Drosophila melanogaster: one gene and its partners. The gene in region 3 interacts genetically with the main gene of each other region. Each region holds a gene or a part of one and is shown on either strand. Other genes may lie near its edges.

The links.
Region 1: of aux (region 3) and rb, changing one enhances a phenotype caused by changing the other (phenotypic enhancement), as found in Drosophila melanogaster (one study listed by BioGRID).
Region 2: of aux (region 3) and Clc, changing one enhances a phenotype caused by changing the other (phenotypic enhancement), as found in Drosophila melanogaster (one study listed by BioGRID).

What each region holds. Positions count from the first base shown.
Region 1 is NC_004354.4:4,534,016-4,543,266, forward strand, and holds rb (ruby), read right to left. Parts: upstream 6,612-9,251; 5' UTR 6,291-6,611; coding exon 5,649-6,290; intron 5,589-5,648; coding exon 4,760-5,588; intron 4,695-4,759; coding exon 3,471-4,694; intron 3,417-3,470; coding exon 2,629-3,416; 3' UTR 1,620-2,628; downstream 1-1,619. Other genes in the region: CHOp24, read left to right, coding at 6,988-7,129, 7,202-7,536, 7,892-8,041; CG3568 (uncharacterized protein), read left to right, coding at 8,688-8,897, 8,963-9,107, 9,161-9,251.
Region 2 is NT_037436.4:20,238,520-20,245,354, reverse strand, and holds Clc (clathrin light chain), read right to left. Parts: upstream 4,303-6,835; 5' UTR 4,249-4,302; intron 4,237-4,248; exon of another isoform or gene 3,815-4,236; intron 3,793-3,814; exon of another isoform or gene 3,671-3,792; intron 3,511-3,670; exon of another isoform or gene 3,452-3,510; intron 2,850-3,451; exon of another isoform or gene 2,571-2,849; 5' UTR 2,558-2,570; coding exon 1,898-2,557; 3' UTR 1,620-1,897; downstream 1-1,619. Other genes in the region: CG6951 (uncharacterized protein), read right to left, coding at 217-417, 778-1,188; CG17233 (uncharacterized protein), read left to right, coding at 4,860-5,492, 5,742-6,617. UniProt on the Drosophila melanogaster protein: Clathrin is the major protein of the polyhedral coat of coated pits and vesicles.
Region 3 is NT_033777.3:4,209,114-4,216,190, reverse strand, and holds the start of aux (auxilin), read right to left. Parts: upstream 4,409-7,077; 5' UTR 4,379-4,408; intron 4,284-4,378; 5' UTR 4,276-4,283; intron 1,069-4,275; exon of another isoform or gene 877-1,068; intron 1-876.

The DNA of each region.
Region 1 (9,251 bases), on a different chromosome or scaffold from region 3:
TCAGGCTAATACTTATGCATAACGATAACGATAATTAAAAAACAAAAAAAAAACGATAACAAACAAAAAGGAAGAGAGAGTGATAAAAACAAAAACTTAACGACTTAAATGCACTAACAACAGGCATCGAACGGTTAGCCGTTGACTAACGGTAGCAATCCGTCCGTTTTAGGCCCTCTCAATGCTTCGCTTCGCAGCTATCGATGCTTATCGATTATATAGTCTCGGTAATCGAGCCATAATCGAAAATATCGTTTGTGCGATAAGCGATAACTATTTCGTTGCCCATTTAAGACACCCAAAGATGAAAACCAAAACCAAACCAATGCTTTATATGTTATTGAAGTTAGAGAGTAGGGAAGGAAAGAACGATTTGAACGATCCGCCGGATCTAATAAATCTGAAGGTAGACAAAACGGGAGAGGTGGAGAAAGAGGCCATCGGGCTAGTCCAAGCGAAGCATGTTATACCAAACACCGTACGTAACAATAAGTGATTGAAAATCATCCTTAGACATACACACATACTGCATAAATCGATATATACATCTTGCATATACATTTAAAAGAAAGAAAACTAAACAAAACAAAAAAAAAATGGTAAAAAAAAAACTAGTTTTATATGAAGTTAAGCGAACGAAGGCCGTGGCATATTATATAACGTGTATACAGAATAGCGAAAACGAGAAGAGAACGATACTACCCCAGGACACTATATACAAACGCTCTACTATATGCCTGTCAAGAACTACTCACAACCCATTATTACAGCATACATATACCCATGCCATATTACCCAAAAATTACATTAATGCATACGTACATACTCGTACTATTCGTACATACATACATGCTATCTATCCCCTAATCATACATTATATAGCATCCCCAAAACCCTATATTTCTTCACTTATCACTCGGAACTTTCAAGCCGTTGATCTTAAAGCCTAGCCTAACCGAAAACTACAACTACTAAAACTACTACTTGAGATCTTTAAGTGCAGCAGCGAATCCAAAACTAAACTAAACATTACTAACCTAGCGATCTAACTAACTCGTTTATATTGATAAGCATGAAATTGAGCTTTTTAATTGTGCAGAACCCAAATTAGAACACAAGGAAATACAGCTACAACTACACCGACACCGACACCTAAAACACAGTTGGATTTGGAGAAAGCAGCGTAGGATTTGAGGAATGAGTTATGTATGTTCTATAACCCAGCATGTCAGTATGTCCAACCTCCTTCTATAATTTCCCACGGAGCTATTTTGAAGCAATCCCGACTTTCAAGCGACAGCAGCAGGAAATTGATACATAAATGCAGAAATCAACTCGAATTTTAAGGAATTGAACTAATTAGAATTCGATTCGATTCTTTTGCATTTGAAAGTTTGTCCTTGCTGACTTCTTATATTCTGTTTGGTGAGTGGAGAAAGTAACAAGAACAAGCGTGAATAAACATCAAAATAATTGAAAACTTTTGAAAAAAGCATTTTTACTTGACATGTGCGAGCGTGTATTAAACTTGATTCGTTTATCCAAAACAGGTAAGACGTTCTCAATTTTAAAATGTAAGCTTTTATTTCAGCTTTTCAATGCGGAGATTCAGCTTATTTGTTTCAGGCATATTAACAGATTGATTTGTTTCTTTATTAGAATACGTTTCATTTGTTCACTTTAATTTGCCAGAATTTGCGCTGTTTATTGTATGAATATAATATATAATATATAGATTCGATATTCGTTTGTCTTTGCTACGTTTTGAAGAAGGCCGCATAGAGCACGAAGGCAACAGATTTACAACATCAAACACTTTACAAATACGTTTCGATTACTCATACACACATTACACACACGCCTAGCTAAGTAGGATGGATTGGAGGATAGGATTTGTTTGGATCGGCAACGATTCGAGTTCAATCAATTGTAACATCTCATTTCATCTGGAATTGTTTGTGGTTGCAGTTTGTATATAGGAATATTAAAAGCGTTAGGATCATGTTTCATTTATATTTGGGCGGGGCGGTTGGTAATCCTTGAATAATTTTCGATTTGGATATGAAAGCTACACTAATCTCATGTTGTGTTCATCCATTCATAAAAGGAAATGGTGACTCTTTTATGCAAAATATCTCAGTATAAGCGGATACAAATATATAGGAAGTTGTGTGTTTCCCATTTCAATAAGTTTCATTAAGAATTTGCGAATGTGTATAACAATAAATATAGTTTTGTAGCATTTACACAATAGTTTGCATCACTTTTCATTCAGTTTTCAACAAGTTAAAGAATATGTAATAATTACAGTTGAAATTGCAATTTAAATTAGTTTTGGATTTCGATCCCACTTGAACACTTAAGTTGCATCTGTTACACTGCACATTTACATATAATCTCTCGAAAATGGAATTTAAAACACCTGTAATCTCAGCTAATGTTATCAGCTAATTTCAAAGATTACGTTCTCCCCGCCCGTTTACAAGTGTATAGCTAAATATGAATGCTATGTTTACGTAGTGAGGCGGCTTTGCCTTATTCTCAGTTGAGTAGCCCTGCTCCAGGGGATTCCACTCCTCAAGTTAGTTCGCTGCTCGCTTTCGTCTTGTTCGCTTTCGTGTCCATCGCTCACATGGCGAAACTGAGCTGCAGAGCATTGCGCAGCTCGTTGAGCACCATGGATCCAATGACCATTTTCTCGCAGTTTACCAGCAGCGTGAGGGCATCCTCTGTTTTCCAATCGAGGGTGAGTAGCACGAGGCTTTTGGAGCTCAGGGTTTGGCCGGCGAAACAGTGTAGCTGACCGCTGGAAGAGCTGTGCGTATGCGCCACGTTGATGGACTCGAAAACCTTTTGCCGCAATGCGACCACATCGATTAGGTCCTGCCTCAGGCCACGCAACTCGCACTGATGCTCATTCATTCCACGCAGCTTGGCCCGCTCCTCGCGATGACAGCTCTCGCCGATCTGGACGGATCTCACCAGCTCGCCCACCGGCGGTTTCAATTGCAGTCGTGAACTGCCCGCACTTGACAGAAGCTCCAGGTCTACAGCATGCGTCGAATCATTGAAATCGACGCCCAGCACACCACTCGCTGTTTGTTGGGGCTGGAGAACAGTGATTGGCGCAAACTCATTCAATTGCATGCCCGCCGGCAGAGTTGTTTGCCCGAGACGAATGGCCGTAATCTCTTTTTCGCCACGATTCTGGAACTGCAGCTCAATGGAGCACATGCTCGAGGAGTACAGATGCGGGGAGCGGGTGAAACGGTAGGCCAAATGCAGTCCATGGCCACTGACCTTGTTAAGCAGCTCCTTGTGCTTGAACTCGATGTGCGAGGGACCCACCAATTCCACCCGATTGCGGGCGTGCTGCGGCTGCAGTGGCGCCGCCTGTCCAGCCATCATTGGTGTGCCTATTGAAGAATTATTATATAAAGAGGCCAATTTAGAGATGCGCATCACCTTACCAGGCGTCAGGAATCCTCCCAACGAGGGCGTCATCACGGGACCAATGGGCGGAATGTCATCCAGATCGAGTAGCAGGTCCAGATTGCTCTTGACAGCCGTTTGCTCCGGCTGTTTCTCGTGCTTCTCTTTCAACTTCTCCGGCTTTGTGCCTGTGTCCGTTTTCGTTTCGTTCTTTTTCACTTCATTATCGCTACCGGAAGCGCTGTCATCACTACTACTGCCACTGTACGCTGATGAATCCTCGCTGTCCGATGTTCCTGACGAACCTCTCGCATTGTTATTGTTGTTTATAGTTGCTTTTACAGGCGAAGAAGTAGCGGCCAGCTCATTGCTTCCAGCATCGATAAGCCGCTCCTTCACCGAGGAAACCTTGGTCGGCTGCTGCTTTTGCACCTCCTCCTCCTCCTCATCGCTGCTCCCGCTGCCATCGCTATCGGATTCACTGTCGCTGGTGCCACTGCCACTGCTGCTGCCTGATTCCGAGTAAGCGGAAGACTTGTCGTCCGACTCAGAGAGGAAGCCCTTCTCGCCACCAGCACCCTTTTCCTTACCGCCTTCACGGCCGGATTTATCCTTTGAATGTCCGGATGGCGAGTCTTCACCCGGCAGCTTGTCCTGCATAAATCCAGCTATATTGCGTACCGATGAATCCGGTGGAATCACCGGAAAGGCGGGCAGTTCCTTGTAGCCAGCCGCTGGCATGTTCAGGTAGTGAGACAACGATCCTAACTGGAAGTTATTGCCATCCCGGTATTTACTCTCCGGCACCGGAGCCGGTTTGCTGGCGAGAAATACTTGGCGGGCATGCTGGCTGAGCACCGAGCTCGTTCCGCTCGCCGGAAAGATGATTTGCCGCAGAAAACGGGCACGATCGCGTACATCGTAGTTGGGATCATAGCGAGCCAGCGTAAAGACGTACTGACACAGCAACGATGTCTGCTCCGGATTGGTCAGATAGAGCTTAACGCCTAAGTTTAGGACCTGCAGCTTCACCACATCCTGCTCATCGACAAACGATTTGGCCATTTTGCGCAGCACATCCGGGGCAATCAGCGGCACCTTCTCGTTGTATTCGCCTATAAGCCAAATGATGGCTGCCCTAGCTGCGGGCACATTGATATAATCGATCAGTTTGGCCATTTGGGTGATAATCTCAAAGTGCTCGGCGGCTTTCGTTTGCAGAAGACGCTTAATCACCACCACGCTCTCGGCCACCACGTGTTCTAAATGGAATAACGGAATACTTATAAAATTAAAATACAAATGGCTAAAAGAAAGCTTAACGCACCGTCATGATTGGACAGCAGATGAACCAGGCCACTCAAGCAGGTCTCGGTAACCTCCTTAATGCTAGATGCACATCGTCCAATGGCCTGAATCGTGGCCGCCACAAACGAACGATCGCTGCTGGAGATGTAGGTTTGAAATTCGCGCAGAATGAGCGAAATACTGCCCGCCGAGGCCAGATTGGTGAGAATATCCAGCTTGAGAAGCTTTATGTGCGTGGGATCGCTGGTGCGCACAAAGAACGACTTGAGGTGCGGCTCAAAGATCGCCTTTCGTTTGGTGGACATCGAGGCAATGCAATTGAGGACCACGCTCTGAACCTCCTTATGCGATCGCAGCAGTCGTATCAGCGCCTTGGCAATCAATTGCACTTCGTTCTTGGGAGCCACATGATGATAGAGCTGCGCCACTGCCATCACCACGGAGGCATTTCGCGATTGGAGCAATGGTTTCGTTTGCCTCAACAGCAGGCGGTGATCCACATCGATGTGGTAGCTGTTGCTCGGAGAACTGGGTGTTCTACTGCCATTTCCTCCGCCATTGTTTTTATTGTTCGTACTCGACTTGTTTTTTTCGTCATCGCTACTGCCATCATCGCTGTGGGAAGAGGAGTGCGAGGATTCGTCGTAGAAGCGTTCACTAACGGGCGTTTCGCCCAGGCCATCGTTGACCAGATCCTCATCATCCGCATTGGGATCAACGAACTGAGTGCGCGCATAGCGGGTCAACATATTAATGATGATCACCTGACCCCATTCGTCCACATCCAGCAGGAAATTGCACAGCTTGCGGTAGTTCTTGTGTATCAAATCTACACGTTCCGGACAAACCTACGAATAAAGATCCGTCGTATATAGAGGATAAATGTTTTACTTTAGCTGCAGACCCACCTCGTCGAAGGCCATCACCGCTGATCCCACCACTAGAGTAGTGCGATCCGATAAAAGCTTCTCAATGACCATGACCAGTTCATCCTTTTGATCCGCGTCCAGAGAATACAACTTGGGGATGGCATGTGCCGCTGTTTTCCGCACATATGGACTCAAATCGGCGGCGCTATCCCGAATGGCCAGCATTACGATTGGCACAATCATGCTGACCCTTATGGAGGATAACACTCGCAGAGCCGAGGCGCGAATAAGTTGATTGGGATCCTTGAGCGCCCTCTGAAATGTGGAAATGGATAGCAGGGCCAAGTCCTGCTGCTCCTCGGCGTATCGCACCAAATAGACGTAGACCAACTTCTTGACCTCGATATTCTTGGACACCACATTCTTGACGACTGCCGGGAACAGATCACTGGCATCCCGTCCGCGGGCAATCATGCCAATGATGCGCTTCATGGCCTCCAGCTTTAGTCCATCCTTGTTGCTGTCCAACATTTGCTTGAGATCATCATGCTTGCGTCCATCGGATTGGAAGAAAGCTGCTCCGCTGGCAGGATCCGCTCCGAATTCGACGTCCAGTCCCATTTGGGGCCGCTCCACATATGTGGACATGGCGAAGGGATTGCTGGCCGAGTTCTGCTGCATTCTTGCAAAGATTCCCCCGGATTACCCAGATTTCGGTTGACCACTTGACCTTTTACTTTCCGTGCTGATGATTTTTTTTTTCCTTTTTTTTTGTGTGTGGGAGTTGGCAGTTTTCCCTTTCGGTTTTTGCAAATGCGTCCAATGTGAAACCTTTGTTCCTGATGTTGAATCCTCAAGACGATCTGGTGGTCAGCTGCTCGTCCTGCCACGCAGCTTGCAAGTTTTGCAAGGGATACTATTATTTATGCCGAAATTCTGGCCAATTTTTGCATTTTTTTTTTTAGCTTTCTGTTTCCTAATGGTGGGCAACTGTCGATAGTCGCCGATTAACACATAGCACAAAAATACTAGAACACTTTAACTAACTGTGATGGAATGCACCAAGAGTTTTTCATATAGGTACGCACATAAATAAAGTAATGTATTAGTTACGATATCCAATACTTTAACCGAAACATTTCGCGGCATTCATGTTGCTTTTGAATTTTTATGAGTTGTGAGTTTTTTGTAGTGATCCGTTAAAAATTCGGTATCGCGTGTCGCGTGCACCTATCGATGCCGAATCTATCGGAAACTGCTGTTCTTCGATATGCCCTATTTGTCTACATCTATCGGAGTATATCGAATCGACTACAACTACGTGGCTGCAGTGCGTTTAATAGCGATTAAAACCAGGCCAAAAGTACTAAGACAAACGATGGAATCGACACTCGCCAAGGTGCTGCTCCTTGTGGGCAGCCTGCTGATCCTGTGCCGCACCAGCCACGCCTTCATCGTCAGCGTGGACGCCCACAATGAGGAGTGCTTCTTCGAGAACGTCGAAGGCGGCACCAAGTTTGGTACGTGAGCGATATGGATTTTCGGTCAATTGACAAGGGATCTATGCTGATAAAATGATGGTGACTTTACAGGCGTCACCTTCGAGGTGATCGACGGTGGCTTCCTAGACGTGGACATCAAGATCAGCGGCCCGGATAACCATGTGATGCACGAGAGCGAAAAGGAGTCGTCCGGCAAGTACACCTTTGTGGCCCCCGCCAAGGGAACCTACACCGTGTGCTTCAACAACGAACGCAGCAGCATGACCCCCAAGCTGGTCATGTTCTCCATCGACGTGGGTGACGCACCGCAACGTGCGCCCGGAGCACCCGGCGAGGAGGAGGTGGGCCACACCAAGCTGGAGGACATGATTCGGGAGCTCTCCGGCACGCTGACCAGTGTCAAGCACGAACAGGAGTACATGCATGTGAGTGAAGAGACGAGGTGAAGATGGAGCATCCAGCTGCCACATAATCATGATTGGGGGTTTTGGAAGAGTTTAACATGTAGCAGAATTAGGGGTACATGGAATATGGGAGCAATCGAGTAACTATTGCCACATAGTCTGGCATGCCTCCAGCATTACTTGTACAGATCCACGTCGCAAGATTTAAGAGCGGAGTCGGTAGACTTGTTCGAGGGAATGGAGCTGCTAGCTGCCACATAAACAATAACTAGTAGCGATTTTCAAACACTCATGTTTTCACCATCGGTTATAATCAGTATTGACATTATTTGTGAAGTAATCCACGACTAATCCTCCAATTTCTTTACTCCCTCAGGTGCGCGACAAGATCCATCGTTCGGTGAACGAGAACACCAACTCGCGAGTGGTGCTGTGGTCCACCTTCGAAGCCCTCGTCCTGGTCCTGATGACAGTGGGCCAGGTGTACTACCTGAAACGCTTCTTCGAGGTCAAGCGCGTCGTGTAATCCCGAGCGGAAAACCAGGATGGAAGTAGCAAAGGAAGGCGGCACACGAAGCTCTGGGGGAAATGTGTGCGCAATGCGTTGCAGTCTCAGATTTAATTTAAATGATTAACATCCTTTTGTAATTTAAATAAAATACCTTGTAAAAAGTAATTAGTGCTTGAAAGTATGTCGATCATGTTTCTGTTTCGAGAATTATTAACAGAGATTGCTATATTAGAGAAATTAATATATATATTTTTTTTTAATTACCAAATATCTCTTAATGGAAACAGAACAGCAAATATTTTCAGACACACATTCAAGGGGGGAAGAGACACTTGTGAACTTTCGAACTAAATTGATAAGAACCATTTGTTTTCTAATAAATGTAGGTTGACAAGAGAAAAGTTTGTTTGCAACTTCGAAATGGAAATGGATTCTATAATAATTTCGAAATATCTGAATGGAAATAAAACAACTTTTCAGAAGCTATATTAAATTCGTTTCAAATCTTTTTGAGTGTTGGGTAGTTAATGTGACAGTGGAAATAAGTTATTAAATCTGACGTCGGTGTGCAGCACTGGATCGTCCAGTGACAGTTGACATATATTCCTATCAGCGGCGAACTTTTTTGTCCGGACTCCTAAAAGTGACTCCAAAAAGTGCGATGAGATCTTTTCTTTATATGCTCTCCCAACGTCCCAAATTGGCATGTTTGTGCGGAAAATCTATTATCATATGGCCTGGTAAACGTACAAATCTGCCGGAAAATGCTTTCACTCAGCGGATGCTTCAAGAATGTGGCCAAATGGCAAAGCCGGACGCTTCGGTGGATCTCGATAATTTCAAAGCTATTTCGGAGCAGTCTCCCGCCGAGGTATACTCATTGGAATTGGTTTCGCAAAATTGTCTTCTGACATTGATATAATCCCCCCACATTAGTTTGGCATCGATTCCTGCCGAGTGAAGGCACAGCCGGAAGATCGAAGTGACCGCATACGGGAACAAATCGCATCCGCCTATCCGGTGATTCACGAACGGACCCTCCTACTCTTTATCAGCTTCTTAGAGCACAAGCTCACGTTCGGTGGGTACAATCACAATCGAAAGAATTTATATTTTCTGGTCATCGTTTTACAGGCAGCGAGCAGGAGAAGGCCATCTACAAGGACATGACTGTGGTTGACCTTGTGCAGCGCCTGCTGGCGAAGAGATGTGTGTGGTTCTTTGG
Region 2 (6,835 bases), on a different chromosome or scaffold from region 3:
TTTTCTGACTCACAGATAGAAAAGAACATCGTTTTACGTTTTGCTTTTTAGTTAAACTGTATTTTTTTATTTATATTAGTACTGCCAAACTAAGTATAACTTAATTAGCATGCTATTAAATTTATTTATCATTTGTCTACATATTTAGTCCGATCACGTCAAATTTACTTTAAACACATTAAAAGTTGTCAAGATAGCTAAGATTGTATTAGTACATTACAAATGGAGTTCGTTTAGTCCCAGGGATGCATTCGGATCTTCTTCCGGGAAGGTGTCAAAATCAATGGTGATCGTTTTTTTCTGGGGGATGTGTCGCTTATATTCCACGCCCACTGCATCCAGCATCCGCTTGGATGCACGATATGTGGGCTTATCGGCATATTTGTCGGACAAATATAGCACCTGAGATATGCCCACCTGGAATACAAATAGGTTAATTTATATGTTATGATATGTATGTACTATATATTCTTGATCAATTTTAGAAGATGAGTTCATAAAGCTGCCGTCCGTTTGGTCGTCCTTTCGTTTTAACGAAAAACTTAAAACCTTTTTGAAGCCGTGAAACTATTGGAAAGATTGTGCTTCCATGTTTGTGATCATATATTGGTGTAATTTTGTACACAACCGTTGTTTTTCCATATATTAATTCGTTTTTCATTTTATCAAAATAGGACGACTAAATTATACAGCTGCCATATGAAAATATTAAAGTTGCATTTCAAATAATAGAACAGAAATCCTATATTCGGCTTCCTTCGTTAATATTAGTTTTACCTGTATAATGAGTTTGGCACATTCGTTGCACGGAAATAGTGTGGTATACAGTCGAGTTCCAGACAAACTCATGCCGTTGCTGTTCAGGATTGCATTGGCCTCCGCGTGGACCACGTACATCTTCTTGTCTTCCAGGGGATCAAATTCCTGCGAGCCTTTCTTAGCTTTTGACCACGGAAACACGTCATCGCTGCAGTTGCGAGGGAACCCATTGTATCCAATGGCCACTATCCGATTCTGGGAATCCACGATGCAGGCGCCCACTTGGGTGACGGGATCTTTGCTGCGTTTGGCGGAGAGCAGTGAGGTGGCCATAAAGTAGTCATCCCAATGCAGATATTCCTTTCTCTTGTGGCTTTCGGGTGACTTCGACAACTGGGATATCAAATCTTGAGCGGAAACTTCAGCCATTTCTGCAAAACAAGTAGAAAACCTTATTAAGCGATGGAAATAATTAAATTATGATTTCTGATATCCACTTTTCATTATCGTAATTGGTTTCTTTATGCGTATTTCATTCATATAATGCATACATTAAACCAGCTCTGCAATGACAAATACTTGCCTCAGTTGTCTGTATGTCTTTATTTTAATAATCATTTAATGAATGCAAATCCATACACAACCATATTCCATTTCCAACCCATTGATATTTCCAACACACATATATGATGAAAACAAGTTGTATGTGTATAACTAACTAGAGATAAGAATAATAAATGGTTTGTATAATGCGTTTTATAGAGCAATAAATATTATTTACAACAAAACTGGAAGTAATTAAAGCCCCTTGATGTGCAACCCTGCTTGATTAACAAAATGAACGAAAAAACACTTTAGTTGTCATATCCTTGGTTTTATTTTTTATTTGTTCTTTTTCCTAACTTTTTCATGTCGTTTTTCTTATTTTGTGTGATGGGGTATATGATAGTCAAGGAAAGCATGACAACTGTGTGCACATTCTTTATTGCATTCATTAGACAAAACGATGATCGCGGCTATGTTATAGCAGCAATAATAATATTTTATGTATCATAAATTGGAATATACAGCGAATACTTTCAATAATAATTTTCATATTCAACTCAATGTGGTTAGGCGAGTGCGTAATTAAAACTACCTAGGTGCTCTTCTGCACCTGGATGGGATTCTGCTTGAGGTGCAGGTAGATGGATCGCATGCGGGAGACGTCCTTTCCCGCCTTGTTCACCTTGGGATTGAAGTCGCAGAGCTTGGCTATGCGCTCCCATTCGGTGCCCGGCTCGATGGTGCCATTCTCCAGGGTGGCGGCTTGTTTCTCGGCATTCCGCGACGCCAGTTTGGTCTTCGATATGGACTCGCCAATCTGGCGCAACCAGTCGTCCAGCTCCTTCTTGGACTGCTGTCGGAGTTCCTCCTTTTTTCGCTCCTCCTCGATGTCCTTCTCCTCCAGTCGTTGCTTTTGCTCTTCGCGCCATTTGCGTATCTTTTCGGGCTCTTCCCGCGACGGCGGCGGACCGGATATGCCCACGGGTTCATTGGACTCGCCACCAATGACCTCAAAACTGCCAGTGGAGGATTCGAGGCCACCCGTGCCGCCAGCAGAGAGCAGATCGCCTTCGGAGGCGGTGCCTCCCAGAAGCTCACCCAAGCCCTCGTCTGTGGATGCAGCCGGAGGAGCTGATGCAGATCCACCCGTAATCTCCGCCTCCAAGTCCCCGAGAGCTGACTGTTCGCGCGCCAGGAACTCGGCCGCCGGATCCACGTCCTCCTTGGCAGCGAAATCGTCTCCGAAGTCCATGGCTATGTGCTCTCTGGAAATGTTGTGATTGCTATTTAGTGGGCGTCTCACCCAGATTTACACGTACGCAGAGGAGCAGCCAGCTGCTGGCGGATTCCCCCCGATTCATTGACAATTGGGCACTACGCACCTCTCCTTTGATTCGGTTAGGACTAATTGAAGATCGGTGTGGGCGGATGACTAACCGGAAACTTGGTCAAATGTATTTTTTCAGTTTTCTTTTAGCAATGAATACGTAAAATGACTGTCATTAGTACGTGAACCAACCATAAAACAGCGGGCTATCGAACTGGTTCCAGCCGAACAGTGCTGGATAATGCAACATATATCGCAACGCGATGGTTTTAAATTTAATGTTATGATTTTTATATTAAAAAATAAATATTTTTTTACACCAGTTATTATGCCAAATCTTTTAAATGTATACAAATTAGTAATATTTAAGGAACAGAAACCATTGTTAACTATTTTACTTGTCAAAGCCGAATTCAACATTCCTTAACATCACGGATAACGAGTTAAAGATTTAGCTACATTTTGTATTATTAAGCTACAAGTTTATGATAATGTATGTTGAAAAAACCAAAGTAAGAACATTTAATTTTTCCTTAACTAAACTTTTAAATTATATCAGCAGCGTCAATTTTCCACTGGGTTTCTGGTCAATTAGTGTTGCAAAATGTGTAATGGTGGTGGCTTGATTCGTTCATATATAATTTAGAACCGTACATATAGTTAATAAAACCTAGATTTAATATAATATTTAAGTTTGGAATTATTTTATTTTTTTTTTTGTTTTCAGATTTTGTAAAGTTCTCATGGTTTTTGAAATCAACTAGTTCCAATTGATCAGTGTTAGGAAACGCGCGAGTTCAGTAAACACAACCTTCAGAGGAGTTACGATTAATTTGTTTATATCTTATCAAATGTGCCTTAATAAATGCTCGTAAAATGTAAATACACAACAAAGTTAACTAGTAATGACTGTAGACCCGATAAAAAGCGTATTATACAACACTTGTTGCTATTGCATAGCACATGGGAATATAATTGCTGGTCAAATTTCACGGTGAATTGTTCACACAACATGACTTAATTATGTTTTTGACTAACCTATGCCACGAAGAACACAAGACGCAGTATACTTTTTGAGGAAATTAACAAAGACGAAATGCGAGGACGACGGCAAAACAAACAATAAACACTCGGCGCGCGAACTAGTGAACCGATGAACAAGTTCACCGTGGCATCATTCACCTGAGCCAGTGGTTCGTTTTTCACTGGCAGCAGAGCGGCCATTTTGGAGATTGTTTCATCCACAAAAAAGTTATGCACCGAATCTAAAAAAAAGAACGTTCGCTGTTAGTTAAACATAAAATCCGCTCGTGCATATTGAAGCGTTGTTGTGCTGGCCGATCCGATGTGAAGATAATGCTGGGCCCGAGCAGACCGACAGTTCCGATTCTATAACGACTAAAAGTTAGTGACTATCTTCCAACACGCACGCATGTACGCCCGTGTGTGTGAGTATGTGTGTGTGTGTGTGTGATTGTGTGCATGGATACATATATGTACAAGCGGAAAATACGGGAAAAAATCCTATTCCCAGGCAGAAAAACATTGCCAAAAACAGCATAAATCCCAGCCAATGTGATGGCCCCGTCATTGTAATGTCATAAGTGAGCACCCACATTAACCCATTGACGCTGAAACTTCAAAAATGCGGTCTCCTTGCCGCCGAGCGCCAAGGCAAAAAATACAGACGCCAATTTTTTTGAAGGGGGAACCAAGCGCATCGTGGCCAAAAGGGATACAAAAAAAATGAAGATACGAAAAAAATAGGGGGATCCCTTCAGTGCAGAAAAGTTGGGGAACAAACACCCCAAAACTGGAGTGTTTCATTCTAAAGTGTACTTCTACTATGTGTTTATTGATTTACAATAAAAGATAAACAAAATATGTTTGACCACATATAAATATCAATAATTTTATAGTAATTATTATTGATCCATAAATAACATTAATTGAATTCGCGCCTTTTTCCCCTCTATATTATGAATGCCATGGCAAGCAACTTGTGATAACAATATAAATATGTTATAATCTAAGCTACCGCTAAATTGATAAATATGGGCGGGATTTTTAGACTTAACACATGACCATTGGAAATGTATCCGAGCAATAATAAACTCCAATTAGTTAATCCTTTACATATAAGCCGCTAATTATATTCAAAAACCACTAAAGTTTTGCTATTTGTTTCAGTTACCAGCCATCAGCAGTAGAAGAGCCCAAGCCAAACATGGATCCCAATTCCAGTCCCTGGTCATACGCCTACAACCGCATCGTGCCCGCCAGTGCCGGAAGCTCCGGCGGAACAGCAGAGGACTTCCAGCATCCACACCTGGCCACCATTACGGCAGCAAGCATCGCCAGCTTTAATGCGGCGGCCGCCAGTGGTGGCAGCTTTGTGCCTCCGTCACCGATTGGCAGCTACAACCCAGTATTCCAGCAGATCTACCACCATGCGGCGGCGGCCAGTGTCCAGCCTAAGCCCGCCCACTATGCCTCGTCAGCGGTGAGCACGCCGCACCGCCAGCTGCAGCTGCCCAGTTCGCTGGACAAGCAGCTCAGTTCGTTCCAGAACCAGGCGGCCGTGTCGGCGGCAGCGGCTGCTGTAGTCAACAATGTTGCCTCGAACTATTACGGGGAGAACTCCTCGTCGAGTGGAGCCTCACCATCGCCCACAACGGTGGCCCTGACGTCGACGTCGCTGACCTGGAACACGCCGAACATGATATCGAACACCTTCCTGGCCATGCAACAGCAGCAGGCACAGCAGCAACAGCAGCAGGCACAACAGCAGCAACAACAGGCCCAACAGCAACAGCAGCAGGCGCAACAGCAACAGCTAAACCTGGTGGCCGACAAAGTGGTGAGTAGAATTCGTTTGTTTTACGTTCGGCTTTCAGATCACTCTTCTATTATGGTTTACGCCAGCTTCTGGGGAAGCACACACACTTATTAAAACCCCGCAGGCTCTATCGCATTTATCGCATACTAACATAACATCCCTTCCAATAAACCCATCAAAGCATAGACTAAGTCTAGCCTCTCTATGTCGAATCAATCCCAAACCAAACACTTTCCGATTCCGATTCAATCTATGTACGGTGCGCTGTAGCAGATTAAGCAGGAAAAGCAATTAAAAGCCTACAACGACTCGATTTACCTGATCCAACTGCAACAGCAGCAGCAGCAACAACAGACAGCGGCGCAGCAGCAACAGCAGCAGCTCCACCAGCAACTGCAACAGGAGATCGCCGAGGCAGACACAGAACCGGACACCTATTACACCATTGATGGCCGGAAGGTCAAGGTGACGCGGAAGGATGGCCAGCCGTATCGGGCAACGATAGTAGACCAACAGGATGCCAGTCCGGTGCCGCTGGCAGTGCCAGTTCCGGCGGGATCCTATCCGGTGCAATATGCCAGTCCGGCGCTAAGCTCCGCAGATGGATCGCCCATCACGAATTTACATGCGGTGGACGTGGTCAGCACACCGCAGGCCCAGGTGATCGTCTACAAGACGGCATCCCCTGTGCAAAGGCGGCAAGAAGCGGGCGCTGGATCGTCTGCTGCTGCCACACCCACCACGGTGGCCTACTCATCTGTGATACAAAGCACCCTGCAGCAACAGCAGCAGCAGCAGAACCTCTGCTGGACGAAGCTGGAGGACAATGGAGCGGGGCAGGAGGACATTAAGAACGTGCTGCAGCTGCAGGTGAAACAGGAACATCGGCAGCTCGATTTTGCCAGTGAGGCATCCTCAGTGGACGCCGGTGGTGGTGGCGAAAATCTAGTTTTCAACCTACCGCCCGGGCTGGAGATCAAGCAAACCTTCTATCCCGCGAGCGTGGTCGATGGGGAGCAACTGCAGCTGCAGGAGCACAATCAAAACCAATCCCAGTCCTCCGGTCGGCGCCAGCACGTGGTGGCCAACATGATCATGTCGCCGTCGGCGGGCAACTTAGCGTCACAGATTCAAGTAGTGCCAAAGGTTTGTATTTAATTTTTTTTATTTCCGTTTCTATTTGTTTATTAATTTGTTTGTGTTCTGCCTTTATTTCGTTTTATTTGCTTTTCACACTATTTCTTCCAAGATTTTGCCAACTTAAATGGACTAGTTTGGAAGATCTCTTATTTAGTTCCACTGTGCGCTTTTTCTTTCTGATTGGCTAAAAATAAATTTGAATTAACAAAACGTACCTTAACAGA
Region 3 (7,077 bases):
CCCTCCACCCAATGGATAAAGGAAGCCAGTGTTTGGCTGAAATTCCGAGGAATTAGCGGTAGACAGTGAAGATGTTTCCTTTGAGTGACAAGCTAGATACAGCCGCTTGCCCAAAAATAAGAAACAAGATTGAACAAACGCAAAAAAATTATAAAACAGCTCCGAAGCCGCACGCCGTCGCACTGTGGGACTCCGTTTGAAAACTCCCAGAAACTTAGTTATTCTAGATAAGAGAAGCAGTGAAATAAAATGTATGCTGCATCGCTCGCACCAAAGACCCTAGAATATTCTAGTGTCTTTGCTCGCACTAGTATATGAGGAGGTATCGGAAGCCTAGTCGGCCTAATCGGCCTTATTGGCCTAATCGGCACAATCCTATCAAGCAACAGCGCTTGTACCACTGTGCACCGATCGCTGCTGCTGATGTTGGAGCTGCTGGCAGCGACGCAATTGCGCAATTGCTTGCTCATTTCGGCTGCCTCTTTTTTGGCGTGCTTTGGCTTTGTTTACCGACTCAGTCGCAGTTAATGTTGCTGATACCGAGAGCAATTTCGCCTTGGTTTGGCTCGGAGATGGAGATGGTTTTAGCCTCGGCTTTGGCGGCTCTGGGCCCGATTGGGCAGCATGGAGGACGGTTGGGGGGCGGTTGGGGGAAGCCACAGACGGGCTCGGGCGGTACCGGGCGGGATCCGTAGCTCCACTTTGCCGTATGTCTGGCTTTCTGGCTTTCTGGCTGAGTATCGCTGGCAGCGCTCGGTCTGCTGCTGCCTGCGCCATCGGCCTCTAAACATACATGTGTATACATAATAATTTTACTTTTTCTGCCGTTTTCCAGCTCGCTGCTTTTTTACTTGCAAGCAAAACTTTTCAACCACCGTCAGTTGTATTTCGGTTCGCGCTGCGATCTGTCGCGCTTTCAAATCACCTCCGCTGGCGAGAAACTAAACGTTGAGTCCCACCATCAGAACCACATCCTGTTCGGCGGAAGACGAGGCAGAGCGTTGCCCACCCCTGAAAGTCCTATCGAGCTTCTGGTTAAAGAAATGTGAGTGTCTCTGGCGTAACACGGTGCGTATGCGCACTATCTGCCATTTGATGTTCATCAATCAAGCTGGTACAATAACAGTACCTGGCCACCGCAACTTTGAGCTTTTGATACGACTCTTAAGTAATTCCCGGGTAACCATTGCCGAGCCGGCTGGTTTGAGGGTCTTCAGTGTCAGACTTTTAGTACGACCTACCGCAACGAAACCTGTTCAGTCTGGAAGCCCTAGAAGATCCGCTCTCGGGACAGCGCACTCCAGACGATGACACATTTCACATTTCACACTTCAGCTCGTGCGTTGGCCCCCAAAGAGACCAGATCGGCCCACCAACCTGTGACTCCACTGGCAGTCGAAAGGAAACAGAGTTTCACTTTCAATTGCGACACCCAGGGCCAAGTAGGTAGGTGGGAGCGGTGCCAGAAGGGAGGCGAGTGGGAGGGGGTTGGTGGGCGCAGGGAAGCGACTAACACGAGTAATGTTAATTAAAAGACAAAAACATAATTTAACGCTGGGCATCGCGGCGGCGAGCTATCTTGGAAGTTACGATCTCGGCATTTCTCATCTCATTGCGCATCGTCCGCCACGAAAATACGAATGTGTGGATAAGTAAAGAGCTCGTTTTGGGCCCTCCACCTTGGGTGGGAAATGTTAATCATAAAAAGTAAAAGTAAAATATTACGGGTCGAGTCAGCACTAGCTTCGTTAGCCGCCCCTCGCATTTGCATTTCGCACATGGCAGTGGCGACAGCCACTGCACCAGCTGGCAGGCACAGAAAACGTCGTCGTCGTCGATTACAATCGATTGCCTACGCGGGCTACACGGGAAAAAATCTGAGTTAGGGGGAGCACCAAGTAGCTGTGCTGATGTGTAATATCTGTACCGGTCGAGCCCTGGCCACGTCCAAATCCCTCTGGGACGTGTAAATTGAAGTATGAGCTGAGCCCCGAAAGAATCATATTCATTCTCGCAGTGTACTTGTGCCACCGACCCCTTTGATTTGGGTTCAACCTCTCCAGCTGGAGGCGTGAGCGATTGCAGGCGTGGCCGCCATTTAAATTCAGTCTTTGTTGTATGCCCGCCTCACAATATCCGACGCGTTGCAGAGCAAACTCGACTTGATTGACACCTGACAGGGGCCCCAAGAAGTTAATGGAAGCCCAATTGAGCCTCCCCCTCTTTAGGTCACAGAGAGAGCTGGTTTCGCCGGGGCAGCTATTCTAAGCAACGTGGCTGTAAGCCCGTGATTAAGTGGATTCCGAATGCAAAAGACATCGCTCTCTGCATGACTCGAATCGAATCAAGGGAAACTATAAGTGCAGACTGCATTTCAAATTTCATCACTCGTCCCCAAGCCGCTGTTATGCGACGCTTATGACCGCAACAGTGGGCTACGCTCGAGATGAATGTCTTGGCTTCCGCCTCTTACTCATCGCTACAATCTTCAGATGGCGTTAGTGACGTAATTCTTAGCGGTAAGCAGTGACCCAAAAGACGGACCGCTGTCCAAATTTAACTGCAGTGTCAACTCTGTCAAAGTCTCCCGACCGGAGAGGACGGAACGGCTGAAAAGAGTCCTGAAAGTCCGTACAGTTCAAGTTCGGAACTAGTTTTAACGCTCTTAGGGTAACTTTGTCGAATCGGTATGCGATCGAGATTGTCAATGAGCATGGTCTATTAGGTGGTATAATTATCTTGTTTGCCTAGTGTGTTCTCAGAATTATTTAAAATGGTTCTCCGAAAAACTATTGAAATACTAATGAAAGTAAAGCTTGCCTACCTATTGTAAAAGTAAGCTCTTCGAAACAAATTCTGTTTTGTCCAAATGGGAGTACATTTTATTCGATTTCTTTAAAAATTATAAACCTCCGAATGAATGTTTCATTTTCATTTGAAGTGTCAGCTATTAGCACAATTAGTAATTATTTCTATGTGCATGACAAATTTGAACAAAGGGCGATAATAACGTTTAGTCTTGCGAAGTTAATTTTCAATTTAAGGAAGTACCTTGGCCAGCATGACATCTCGTCTCGGGAACAATTAACACAATTGTCTTGCCAGATTCTGTCGATATTCCGAAATATTTTAAGACTACCTATTGCATTTAGTAGCACAGTTTTGCAATCATTAAATAAAAATAAATCGGTTAATACTAATCAATTTTATCATGGAAAAATTGGCAACTATGTTTTGGAAACAAAGAAAAACACTAAAGAATTTACAGGTATTTGCTGTGCCCTTGTCCCGATTTCTAGCAATAAATCGATTTGCTGACCGCGTAATCTTTAGGAATAGGGTTCATGGCCACCTGCAAGCAAGCCAAGTCATAGGAAGAAGCGATAGCGTGGATTTAGGCAGGAGTATTGGAGAAGAGGCGCAAAGCGATGTAGTTGGCCGAGTCGAGTTGAAAGTGAAAGTTTTGCCGAGCAGAGCGCAGCGATTTGCGTCGACGAGCAATGCTCGGTTAGCCACCCAGAGCTCCATTGTCAGCGGCAATAGTAGCGGCGGACGTGAACTTTAGCGGCCGCGTTTGAGTTGAAAACGCAATTTACAATTTTCCTAATTGTTTCTTTCAGCTTTTTGTCGGCCAATTTTCCTTTATTAGTTACTTATTGGATTGTCGTTAGCGTGACCGAGGCGTATGCGTAATATCTTTGCCAACGCCCGATGAGAAAATCGAATTGCCGGTAATCGTCGCATTGACCGCTCACAGAAAGCGTTACCCAGCAGAATAGAAAGACAGAAAGATCTCTAGACGAATCTTTATCATCTTATTTTTCATCTCTCATTTGTGGTTCATTTAATGCAAATTATGGTATCGATTACTTCTGTTTTGAATGTTGAACTTTCCAGTTTCATTCGACCAGAAGATGAATGATCTTAGGTAGAGCACGTTGTTACTCAGGAAATGCGGCTTTCGACGTTTCAGCATCGTTTCCGTCAAAGTAAAAACTGTAGCGTGCAAACGAAAGTTTCAATTTATTTGGTGTTTCGCTTTCTGAGCCCAACGCACCCAGCACATCACGCAAAAGCAGCCAAACTGCAGAGGAGCAGCCATACCTGGCCTGTAAATAATTTATTTGAGAACACGCGGGAAATCTGTTAAGCCAGCATTCCTTATTTATTGGATATTGATTGCAATAGCACTGAAGCGGGTAATCGTCATTATTTTAACAGCTATTCTTAACTTTTGTTTTCCACTTTTGTTGATTATCGCCTAATTTCTAATACCAAGTCAGCTAAGTTGCGGAAGAAACCAGTTTAATTAATTTTTAATAAATTTATTAAAACCATTATTATTATATTATTATTATTATCGTCAGAAATTTGATACCAGAAATTTATAAATACTGGAAGCTTGCGGCACAAACAAAAAGCAATGGATGGCAGAGACTGGTTATATCGAAAAAAACACATCGAAAGGGATGGTAAAATCTTTTTTTAGTACCTTATGAACGGGCTGTTGAAATTATTTTGAAGTGTGTTATAAGAAAAAATACAATTTTAGCCGCCGTTTACAGAAGTTAATATTCTAATACAATTTCACGTGTCTCTTTTATTTTGATCTGTCCTTTAGCTTGGTTCAACAGCGACTGACTGCCGCGCTCTCTGCAGAGTGGCGAGTCGATTAGTCGATAAGTTTCTCGATAATATTTGTATGTTAAGGATGGGTGTATGAGTGTATAAGCTTATGACTAGATTGGCTATGTATAATTAGGTATGTATGACTAAGAGTAAAGGAAGAGGGTAGAAGGAGCAGCCTACTACAACTCGGCCGTCCTGACAACTAGATCTCCCGATCGTAGGATTTTATAACAATTAACGTTTCTTAAAGCTAAGGGTCCTGTTTCTTATTTTATTCTTCTTAGTGGAGATACTTTTGAACGGTCTTAAACATTTTTTTGGTTTTCTTTTCTTCTTGTTTGTTTTCTTTGTTTTACAATTGCTTCTTAAATTATACTTTCTATTTCGTACAGAGTTTCTTAAATTATACTTTCTATTTTGTACAGAGTTTCTCAAATTATACTTTCTATTTTGTACAGAGTTTCTCAAATTATACTTTCTATTTTGTAGACTCTTAATTTTTCTTTGCCAGTGTTTTATATTCTGTATGCTCCATACACCCCGGTAAGGATTGCGAGAAATTTGAAATCCATCAACATCTTCCAGAAGGAAGCGATCATTTTTGAGAACTTTGCTTATGACATAGGGTCCTTTATGCTTTGGAATTAACTTCTTAGCTATGCCTGTTGTTGAGTCAAAATTTTTAACCATGACGTAGTCGCCTTTTGTGAACACTCCTGATCGTTTTCGTTTTTTGTCAACATATTCTTTATTGTATGCTTGTGCTATTTTCTGACTTGCCTCGCCTTTATTTCTAATACTTTCTAAATCTCTTTCTTCAATCGTTTCTCCAATTTCCTCAATTTTTTCTTTTAACTCATCCATAATTTGTCCTTTTTGTTGTAACCCAAATAACATTATGCTAGGATACTGTTTAATGCTGCGGTGTAGTGTATTGTTCAGGGTATATTCGACCTTTTCTAAGACTAAGTCCCAGTGTAGACCTTGATCAGGTTCAATTAACTTGCTAATCATTGGACCAAGACTTCGGTTTATACGTTCAACTTGACCGTTGGCTTGTGGCGATCCTGTTGCAATTTTTATGTGTTTAACATTGCATTCTTTCAAAAATGAGTCAAAATCGCCAGACGTGAAACATGCTCCTCTATCTGATATGATACACTTAGGCCTACTGTATGCTCTGAAGTAGTCATTTAACGATTGTATGACTTCTTTTGTGTTCGTAGTTTTTGTTGCGTATAGTCTGACAAACTTTGTGAATGCATCTACTATCACTAGAATATGTTTCTTCGGTCTAGCCAAGTCTACTGGACCATAATGGTCAATATGGATTATTTCAAAAGGTTTGTTTCCCTTAGGTATGTTGTGTAGAAATCCTTCTGTTTTTCCTGTTTTGGGACTGAATGAAATACATTTTAAACAGTTGCTGATATGTGTGCTACACTTCTGTTTTAAATTTGGAAACCAATAGTTTTTCATTATAGCTTCTATCATTTTGTCTCTTCCTACGTGTCCAAGTTCGTTGTGATATTTGTATAACACTTGTTCTTCCATTTCTATCGGAACGTAGAACAGCAATCTATTTTCATTTGTCTTTTTGTAAACTATACCATTTCTCATCTCATACAATTTATTTTCTGTGTTTTCTAACAATTGCCTGATTTCTTTTAATTTTGTATCTTTCCCTTGACATATAACTAGATTATCTTCGAAACTGTTTGTTTGTATTACCATAATATTTGTACACCTACTCAGTGCGTCAACATGTTGCATGCGGCTACCTGCCCTATGCACAATTTCAAAATCATAACCTTGGAATTCTAAAGCCCACCTGGCTATCCTAGGGTTTAGCTCTTTTTTGCTTAGGGTCAAAATTAATGAGTTGCAGTCGGTGACTATTTTAAATGTCCTCCAATGAAGATAAACTCTAAATCTACGTAACGAATAAACAATGGCTAAAGTTTCTAACTCGAAACTGTGGTATTTTGATTCAATATCTGTTGTCCGTTTTGAAAAGAATGAAACTGGGTGCCATTTCTGGTCCTCCTTCTTTTGCATAAGTACAGCACCGAATCCAGAAGAACTTGCATCACAATGCAATTCTGTTTCGTGTTTATGGTTGTATATAGCTAAGACCGGTGACTGTATTAATTTATCTTTTAACATATTAAAACAAATCATTTCTTCACTACCAAATTTGAACGGTTTATCTTTTTTTAGAATGTCATGCAATGGTTTAGCTAGTCTAGAAAAATCTTTTATAAACCGTCGAAAATATGAGCATAATCCCAAAAAACTTTGTACTGTATGAGCATTATTAGGTATTGGGAAATTTTTTATTGCCTCGATTCCTTTGTCATTGGGCATTATGCCGTCTTTATTTATTATGAACCCAAGATATTTTATACTCGATTGCATAAACTCACATTTGTCTATTCTTAATTCAAG